Linked DNA regions of Saccharomyces cerevisiae S288C. The protein of the gene in region 1 interacts with the protein of each later gene in a biochemical or structural test. Each region holds a gene or a part of one and is shown on either strand. Other genes may lie near its edges.

Evidence for each region. Proteins that work in one complex are often made in the same cells at the same time.
Region 2: the proteins of UBP13 (region 1) and DUF1 form a complex in vitro, tested with the Saccharomyces cerevisiae proteins (one study listed by BioGRID).

The regions. Positions count from the first base shown.
Region 1 is NC_001134.8:92,999-97,742, reverse strand, and holds UBP13 (ubiquitin-specific protease UBP13), read left to right. Parts: upstream 1-1,860; coding exon 1,861-4,104; downstream 4,105-4,744. Other genes in the region: SEF1 (Sef1p), read left to right, coding at 1-1,074; ribose phosphate diphosphokinase subunit PRS4, read right to left, coding at 4,349-4,744.
Region 2 is NC_001147.6:154,787-160,254, reverse strand, and holds DUF1 (Duf1p), read left to right. Parts: upstream 1-1,617; coding exon 1,618-4,968; downstream 4,969-5,468. Other genes in the region: alcohol dehydrogenase ADH1, read left to right, coding at 1-707; MHF1 (Mhf1p), read right to left, coding at 810-1,082. UniProt on the Saccharomyces cerevisiae protein: Ubiquitin-binding protein involved in the resistance to phenanthroline, sanguinarine, nordihydroguaiaretic acid (NDGA), isopropyl (N-3-chloro-phenyl)-carbamate (IPCPC) and guanosine 5'-O-(2-thiodiphosphate).

The sequences.
Region 1 (4,744 bases):
AACAAGCAAGCCTTAGAGAAAGCCGCTAAGAAAAGAAAATTTTCCTCAAATGGTATCTACAATGGCACTTCGTCTACGGGTGGCATAACGGACAGAAAACTATATCCATTGCCACTATATAACCATATCTCCAGAGATGACTTTGAAACTGTAACAAAAACAACACCAAGTGGAACCACTGTTACCACTTTAGTTCCTACTAAGAATGCCTTAAAGCAGGCAGAAAAGCTAGCCAAGACAAATAACGGAGATTCTGACGGTTCTATAATGGAGATTAACGGGATACCTCTTTCCATGCTCGGGGAAACAGGCAGCGTAAAATTTCAAAGTTTATTCGCTAATACCTCGAATAGTAACGATTATAATAATAATAGGACGTTATTGGATGCGTCTAATGACATATCAATTCCCTCTAATTCAATTTATCCAGTGGCTTCTGTCCCCGCTTCGAATAACAATCCACAAAGTACTAAGGTAGACTATTATAGTAACGGACCTAGTGTAATTCCTGATCTCTCCATGAAAAGATCAGTAAGCACTCCCGTTAATCATTTTCCTGCGTCCGTTCCAGGGTTAAGGAACCACCCCGTTGGCAACTTATCTAATAATGTTACATTGGGAATAGACCACCCTATTCCAAGGGAGCACAGTAATTTACAAAATGTCACCATGAATTATAATAATCAATTCAGCAACGCCAACGCGATTGGAAGATCACAAAGTAGTATGTCCCATTCACGTACACCGATTGCTTCGAAGTCAAATAATATGACAGATTTGCATTCCGTCGTTTCCGACCCCGGCTCCTCTAAAAGCACGGCATATCCACCTCTGAGCTTGTTTTCCAAAAGTAATGATATCAATAGCAACAAAACGAACCAACGATTTTCTACGGGCACTAACACTGTAACTTCTTCTAACTTCCAAACCATCGATAATGAAAACAACGTGAAGACTCCTGGAAACAAACTAACGGATTTTTTTCAGCAACAAAGTGCAGGCTGGATTGAAGGCAACTCCAGTAATGATGACTTTTTTGGTTGGTTCGATATGAACATGGAACAAGGTTTTTAACGCCTATATTCTTCTAATATTCTAAGAAATATTATTACCCTTGTTTTCTGCTAATTTATTAAAGAAAATTTGCAAAGACGGCTACATAGGACTTCGAGTCCTTTTATTTATACATATTCTTTTTCGGATTATTTCCAATGTAACAATATTCAAGAATGGATCAACTTAAGGATTATTTATCAGTTTGTTATCACGACCTCCCTCCTTTGTAAAATGATGACCACACCAAAGTAGAATATTTATTCACTACCTATTTATTTTATTCTTATTAATATTTTATATATCATGCATTTATCCGTGTGCATTTACCAAAATTCATGAGTAACGATAACGCTTCTTATAGGTATCTATCTATTCCCATTCCGGTAACTTTTTTTTTTTCTCCAACGCTCAGTCCTTGCTTCTTTATCCCTATTCGTTTGGAGACGGTCGTCAATTTTAGCGGAAGGCTGAAAAATACATCGATCCGAAAGTGTTGAACATAGAGATGAGGCAAGATAACTATAAAGATAAAGAACCCAAAGAACGTAATTGAACTATTGTGTGAAAGAAGGTCGACAACAGCAAAGGAATCAATAGAGTTTTTCTTTGGTTTTCAAATTGATTTTTTTTCACCTGTTCATTTTTTTTTTTTCCATTTGGATAATATTATTATTGCCTATACCAGATCTTACCCTTTGACTGTTCAACTCATCAAGCTTTATTTGTTGAAGGGGCCAAATTCGGCTTTAGTAAGGATCCAGTACTTTCATTAACATACTAAACCCACGCAAGAAGGGCGCAATCATGATCAGAAGATGGCTAACTATAAGTAAGTCTGGGAAGAAGAAAAAGGCTGTTAATGATACCATTACAGAAGAAGTAGAAAAGGTTGACTTTAAGCCTGTAAACCACGATATAAATGATGAACTCTGTTATAGCGAATCATCCGATAATCCCTCTAGCTCATTGTTTGTCTCTAATTTGGATACCAAGGAAACTTTTTTGAATGAAGACAATAATTTGCAGATTTCTTCCGGACTAGACTATTCTTCTGAAACGTGCAATCAAGGCAGTAATTACAGCCAGGATGGGATATTTTATATTTCAAACGCAAAGGCTATAAACGCATACGGAGGCATTATCACGCAAGGGCCCGAGGCACCCATATTAGCTATGAAGGTGTCCGACTCAATGCCCTATGGAGACGGCTCCAACAAAGTTTTTGGATACGAAAATTTTGGCAATACATGTTACTGTAACTCAGTTCTTCAATGTCTCTATAATCTGTCCTCATTACGTGAAAATATATTGCAATTTCCAAAAAAATCAAGAGAATCTGATCAACCAAGAAAGAAAGAAATGAGAGGTAAGAAACCAAGAATATTTACCGAAGCAAGTTTTGAGAAAAGCATTGCTGGTACCAATGGACATTTGCCTAACCCTAAACCTCAATCTGTTGATGATGGAAAGCCTACCCCTGTAAATTCTGTAAATTCAAATACAGCTGGGCCTTCAGAGAAGAAGAGTAAATTTTTTAAAAGTTTTAGCGCGAAACATGTACAAGACAATAATAAAAAGGAAGGAAGTCCTGCTATATTAACCACTGGAAAACCCTCTTCTCGTCCTCAAGACGCACCTCCATTGATAGTCGAAACACCTAATGAGCCTGGTGCTCCGAGCAGATTGAGTTTCGAGAACGTCACAGATAGACCTCCGGATGTTCCGCGTAAAATAATTGTTGGCAGAGTTCTCAATTATGAAAATCCTTCAAGAGGTAGCAGTAATAGTAATAACCTGGACTTGAAAGGAGAAAGTAATAGCAGCTTATCCACTCCACTTGATAAAAAAGATACTAGAAGATCTAGTTCCTCTTCTCAAATATCCCCAGAACATAGAAAGAAATCCGCACTTATTCGTGGGCCAGTGCTCAATATTGACCATAGCTTAAACGGCTCAGATAAGGCTACTTTGTATTCCAGTTTGAGAGATATCTTTGAATGCATAACTGAGAATACGTATTTAACTGGTGTTGTATCGCCTAGCTCTTTTGTTGATGTTCTCAAAAGAGAAAATGTATTATTTAATACTACTATGCATCAGGATGCTCACGAATTTTTCAATTTCTTATTAAACGAGTTGAGTGAATATATAGAACGTGAGAATAAAAAAATAGCAGCCAGTGATATCAACAGCGATAGCGAACCGAGTAAGAGTAAAAATTTCATCAGTGACTTGTTTCAAGGCACTTTAACGAATCAAATAAAATGTCTGACGTGCGATAACATTACATCTAGGGATGAGCCATTTTTGGATTTCCCCATAGAAGTTCAGGGAGATGAGGAAACAGATATACAGGAAATTTTGAAAAGTTATCACCAGCGAGAAATGCTAAATGGCTCAAACAAGTTTTATTGTGACGAATGTTGCGGTTTACAGGAGGCAGAGAGATTAGTTGGTTTGAAGCAATTGCCTGATACTTTAACATTACACTTGAAAAGATTCAAGTATTCTGAGAAACAAAACTGTAATATTAAGCTTTTTAATAACATTCACTATCCTCTGACGCTAAATGTTTGCTCTTCAATAAATTCTAAGGTTTGTCAAAAGTATGAATTGGCTGGGATTGTCGTTCATATGGGCGGTGGGCCACAACACGGCCATTATGTTTCCCTATGTAAACATGAAAAGTTTGGCTGGTTGTTATTTGATGACGAAACGGTAGAGGCAGTTAAAGAGGAAACAGTGTTAGAATTCACAGGTGAATCTCCAAATATGGCAACAGCATATGTTTTGTTTTATAAAGCGATGTATTCAAACGCTGTTGAAAAGAATGATCGTGAAAATATGGCAAAAGAACAAGATGATAATATAGACAATCTAATCAAGTACGATGATTGGCTAAGAACTTGCAATAGTGGTCAAAAGAAAAAGGAAGAGCTGCCTATAGCAGACGATTTGGATACTGCTATAGACGACAGCTTTGTTTCTAACACACCCATAAAGTCTTCTAAAAAAAAGTCGAGAATGTTTAGTTTTAGGAAAAGCTGAAAAATATTTGCATATCAAGGAAGGTAAAGGTTCACCGTCTCCTTTAAAACTATTTTTTCTCTGACAGTATTAATTTAATTCTTACATAAATATAATATCTTTAATCTTCTTTTTTTAAACCGGCTCCGGAACCTTTTTCTTAAATTTATAGTTTTGTCTCAGTAAAAGGTTTTCTTTTAAACTAATACAATTATGAAGTATTTAGGCATGCAAGCAATCAGGAATCTAAGAATAAAAAATTGTCCTATACTGGAGCATGGGTGAACAAATATGACACGGATTCACCATTGTGTAGTCTTCTTATAGCTTCAGCGAACGTGGGACTAATATCGATCTGGTCAGCAATAGGTAAATCCAAATCTACCGGAACGGTATTTGTGCAAACAATTCTAGACAATCTACTATTTCTTAGCTTTTCTCTTGCTGAACCGGAGAAAATACCGTGTGTAACAATAGCTATAACTTCTTTGGCACCATGCTCCATCAACGTATCACAAGCTTTTACCAACGTACCACAAGTATCCGCCATATCATCAACTAATAAACATGATTTATTGGTAACATCACCAACAAGCACCATTTTTGAAACCTCGTTAGCTTTTTGCCTCTCTTTGTGAATCAAAGCAAAATTTAAATCTAA
Region 2 (5,468 bases), on another chromosome or scaffold:
ACGCTGACTTGTCTGGTTACACCCACGACGGTTCTTTCCAACAATACGCTACCGCTGACGCTGTTCAAGCCGCTCACATTCCTCAAGGTACCGACTTGGCCCAAGTCGCCCCCATCTTGTGTGCTGGTATCACCGTCTACAAGGCTTTGAAGTCTGCTAACTTGATGGCCGGTCACTGGGTTGCTATCTCCGGTGCTGCTGGTGGTCTAGGTTCTTTGGCTGTTCAATACGCCAAGGCTATGGGTTACAGAGTCTTGGGTATTGACGGTGGTGAAGGTAAGGAAGAATTATTCAGATCCATCGGTGGTGAAGTCTTCATTGACTTCACTAAGGAAAAGGACATTGTCGGTGCTGTTCTAAAGGCCACTGACGGTGGTGCTCACGGTGTCATCAACGTTTCCGTTTCCGAAGCCGCTATTGAAGCTTCTACCAGATACGTTAGAGCTAACGGTACCACCGTTTTGGTCGGTATGCCAGCTGGTGCCAAGTGTTGTTCTGATGTCTTCAACCAAGTCGTCAAGTCCATCTCTATTGTTGGTTCTTACGTCGGTAACAGAGCTGACACCAGAGAAGCTTTGGACTTCTTCGCCAGAGGTTTGGTCAAGTCTCCAATCAAGGTTGTCGGCTTGTCTACCTTGCCAGAAATTTACGAAAAGATGGAAAAGGGTCAAATCGTTGGTAGATACGTTGTTGACACTTCTAAATAAGCGAATTTCTTATGATTTATGATTTTTATTATTAAATAAGTTATAAAAAAAATAAGTGTATACAAATTTTAAAGTGACTCTTAGGTTTTAAAACGAAAATTCTTATTCTTGAGTAACTCTTTCCTGTAGGTCAGGTTGCTTTCTCAGGTATAGCATGAGGTCGCTCTTATTGACCACACCTCTACCGGCATGCCGAGCAAATGCCTGCAAATCGCTCCCCATTTCACCCAATTGTAGATATGCTAACTCCAGCAATGAGTTGATGAATCTCGGTGTGTATTTTATGTCCTCAGAGGACAACACCTGTTGTAATCGTTCTTCCACACGGATCCACAGCCTAGCCTTCAGTTGGGCTCTATCTTCATCGTCATTCATTGCATCTACTAGCCCCTTACCTGAGCTTCAAGACGTTATATCGCTTTTATGTATCATGATCTTATCTTGAGATATGAATACATAAATATATTTACTCAAGTGTATACGTGCATGCTTTTTTTACGGCAGCATTTTTTTTTCAACTCTGATCGCCCCTTTACTGCTCCCTCCGCCCAAATTCCATTGCAGTTCAAATGTATACTGAAAAAAACCCCATTGCTATTGTTAAACAGTGAACTCTCTTTTTGCCCAATAATAACATTATAACAAGTAACTACCAGCACCATAACACCGTGTCCTATCCTGGTATTAATTACTACTTGAAGAACGACTACATCGCTTTTTGCAACTACAATTAGAACGCTCCGCCCCTTCCTTTTGACGTCGTATAAGTGTAGTTGGATTGCAATTGCATAGATACAGGAATTAGTTCAAGCCATTCCTAACGAGGAAACGATACATTCTAGCAAATCTACGCTTTTCTGACTTTAGAAGAGCAAGCCAATAAAAAGCCGGAGAAAATAGAAAGGTAATAATGAATCAGTTGACAGTGAGTTATGGCCTAATTTCCCCAGATTACTGCACTTCCCAAGATGCGCACATCTTACCGATAACAAAGATTCTGTACCCGGATATACCTGGTAAAAACTATTTTCTTACTTCAGGAAGGGATGGTTCCATAATTTTGCACAAGAACACACAGCTCTCGAACGAGCCTGAGACTGCTGCAACTACCATAAAAAACGATGCGATAAGAATGCAAGTTCATAGCGATTGGGCAAGCGATCTAATACATGTTAATATGAAAAATTCAGACCCATCTGCAGGGGACACATTCATATCAGTAAGTCACGATTTTTCGATAGTATTAATTAGTGTGAATGCGCAGTTAACTACCTGGGATAAGAAAATAATCGGTGACCACGACGATTATATCAAGTGCATAGTGCCCATACATTATGAAATGTCAAATGACTATGAATTGGAAGAACAAGAGGGTGGTCCTGATAATGTACACGATGGAATAAATAATGGCATTGTTGTTGATGAACAGAACAACTTTCTTTTTGTGACAGGTGGTCTAGATAGAAAAATCAAACTTTGGTGCCTGAGCAGCGGGCCAGAAAAAATGGCTACGCTACTACACACATTTGATAATGCACAATCAAACGACACAGGCTCAATATACTCCATGAGTCCCATCATCCCAAAATACAGTTTTGATGACAATCAAACGTCTCGTCCCTTTGATTTTGTTGCCGGAGACTGTAATGGTGATTTGATTTTTTATTCGTGTAAATATCGTAAGGAGGTGATAAGAATTCAAAACGCCCACAGAACAAATATAAAAGTAGTAAGAACTCTTGATGACTCCACACGACTAATCAGTACCAGCTCAGATGGTGTAATAAATGTATGGGACTTGAATTGTAGGCATGATCAGACTACTGGTGCCCTTCAGCTTCCCAAAAAAATTGGATCTTGGTCCTGGGATTCTTCCATATGGTGTGTCCAAGGAACGAGCCTTGATAAGTTGTATTTTGGTGACTCTCAGGGCAATGTTATGAGAGCAAACTTATCCAGTTATGAAGATGCTAAACTTACAAGAATTTTCAAGCCTGATCATCACCACCATCATCATCATCACCATGAACACGAAGAGCAAAATATATCAACTACAGATGCGAAAGTAAAAAAATATGGTGGTATCCTTGATATTGCCCTTTTACCTAATGAAAAATTGTTGTTTTCTTTTTGTACTGACTCAAATCTAAACGTGCTCGATTTAACTAATAACCATTTCAGTGTCAACGAAGGTGGGTTCGCACTGACCAGAAGCTCACTGCTAACCAACAGGAGGCATGTAATAACGGAAAACACTAAAGGCCAAATGCAGAGATGGGATATCGTTTCATGTGAGCTTTTGAATACTTTTGATTCATCAGAAGGTTCATTTGATGATATTGTAATGAAATACACCTCAAAGGAAATTCTATCTCATTGGTGTACTGTTTCCGTTAAGGTCGGTATGCTGTTCGTAAAAATAAACCCAAAATTTCTGAAAACTGAAGTTTATGGATCCGCGCTAAAGGATTATCAGGTTGTGAACAATATTGAAATTAACTCAGATGAGAGATATAATTTGGGTAAAATTGTTATTAATTCGCTTTTCAATGAGTTCATATCATATGAAGTCCAAAAGGATAAACTTTTAAGGAAGAAAATTTTTAGTTTGAAGAAAAAAGACTTAACCAATTCATTAACCTTGGATACGGGATATAACAGTGAATCAAAAAAGAATAATAAAGATAAAAAGAGAAAATCAACCTTCAAAATTAGTTCAACTCTGTCCATTGGAAATACCAACAGCAGTGGAACTCCACCAAATTCGGCACCTGCAACCCCGGTAATGGCAGAGACTATAGTATTAGAAGAACAACCATTGTTGCAGTCAGCTTCTGATAAAGCAATAGATGACTCTTTAGAACTCGTGCAACCATTGCCTGCATCCAAAAAGCCATATTTTAGAACGCAGAGCTCTGGCTCCTTGTTAAGTAGAAAGTTCAAATCATTTAGGTCTACTTCTGGTCGTGCCACAACAGGGTTAAACACTCCAGAGGAGCCCAAAGGAATTCTGCCAGATACTCCGCACGTTATTAATGATGACTCGGCCTTCCCTCAAGCTATCAATACAACTCAGCAGTCTAAGGATGCAACTCCAGAATCTATGTTATGGAATCATCCTTTCAAGCTAGAGCAAAAACTATCCGCTATTTCATCACAAGATTTACCGAGTAACAACACTCATAACAAACTAAGATCATCTGAAAACTCAAGGGCGAATTCCACGTCAACCTTGGAAGGCAACGAAAAGAAGAAGCCTGAGTTCATGCCCGATTTACTGGAGCAAATTCAAGAGTCTTACAAGCAACAATATATGAATACTTCTTCTCTAAAATACCTGACGAAGAGGCTTCCAGTCACCAAGATAATCAAGGCTAGTTCATGTCCAATTATTAGAGTAAAATCTGCCACGTTAGTTTTGGTCCATCTTTGGAAGGAAGGCTCATGTGGTGGCAGGGTATTATTTTCCACCCTATTACCGCCATCTCATGTCGATAATGAAACCGTCAGCGGCGGCAAAGAAAATTCCAAACCGCCAGATGATGAAGAAGTAGACCTTCAAGCTGTAGATGATGACAAATTAGGAAAATATGATCTTATTGATGGCGAGTTAGGAAGCAGACTCAACAGAAGGCAAATTTTTGAGCAATTGGAGGAAAATTTGCCCTACTGGTTTGCAAAAGCTTTATTTAGAGATATTAAGACGGTGGAAGAGCAACCAAAGTTGAACTTCTTAATCATGCCATGGTCTTCTGTTGGTGGGAGTGAGGCAGCTGGCAATGAAAACAAGAAGAAGTTTATTAGTGCATCAGATACCACAGAATCTTCTGGCAACGATAGTAGCGATAGCAGCCTTGGAAATGGTAATGAAGCCGTTTCCCCATCAACACAGCAACAGTTCCATAATATGCTAAAGTTTGGCCGTCCGAAGACCAGCGAGCAGGAGTTAAACCCCACAGATTTACCGAGAATCTCTGAGGCGAATGTCAAGCTGGTTGCGCCTGGAATGATTAGGGTGAAAAAAATTAAACTTTACGTCGCTGACAGATTTGAAACGAAAACTCCTGAAATGAAAGCAAAAATGGAACCTAGTCTTTGGTTGGATCTACTATGTAGGGGCCAAGTGCTTGATAACGATATGACTTTAAATACCGTTAGAACACTTTACTGGAAATCTCAGGGTGACATAGTTCTAGAATACAGAAGAAAAGTACATAATTCACCGCTAGTTCATGAGGTCAACGGGAATGAGGGGAAATGATAATGTTTATTTAAATTATATTTTGGGGTCTGAATTTGGAGTTTTTAAGCGTAAATATATAGTAACAATACCAACAATAATACTAATAATACTATAATAGTAGTTGCAGTAACAATGACAAGATAAAGAATATTCTTCTGAAATGTCTAAAGAACGAAGAAAAAAGCAAGTACTCATTGGAATGCTATGTGTAACAACTCATACATACTCTAGAGCTTTATAATAATTACATAGACATTTTTATAATATTATTTATTTATCAAATTTTATATTGAATAGGTACCATCAAGTTATGCACACATTCTTCATTAAAATACAGTCTGTAAATAATTGTGAATATGGGCGACCTGAATGATGTTCTTATTATCTCAAATATTTCTAATTTTTTTTAATCATTTTTGTTTCTTTAAGAGCAATTAATTTACAGAGCGGGGAACAGTGGCCAATTTTTTGAGCTAAAGAACAGCATAACAACAAAACAACAGAAAAAAAACACAGCG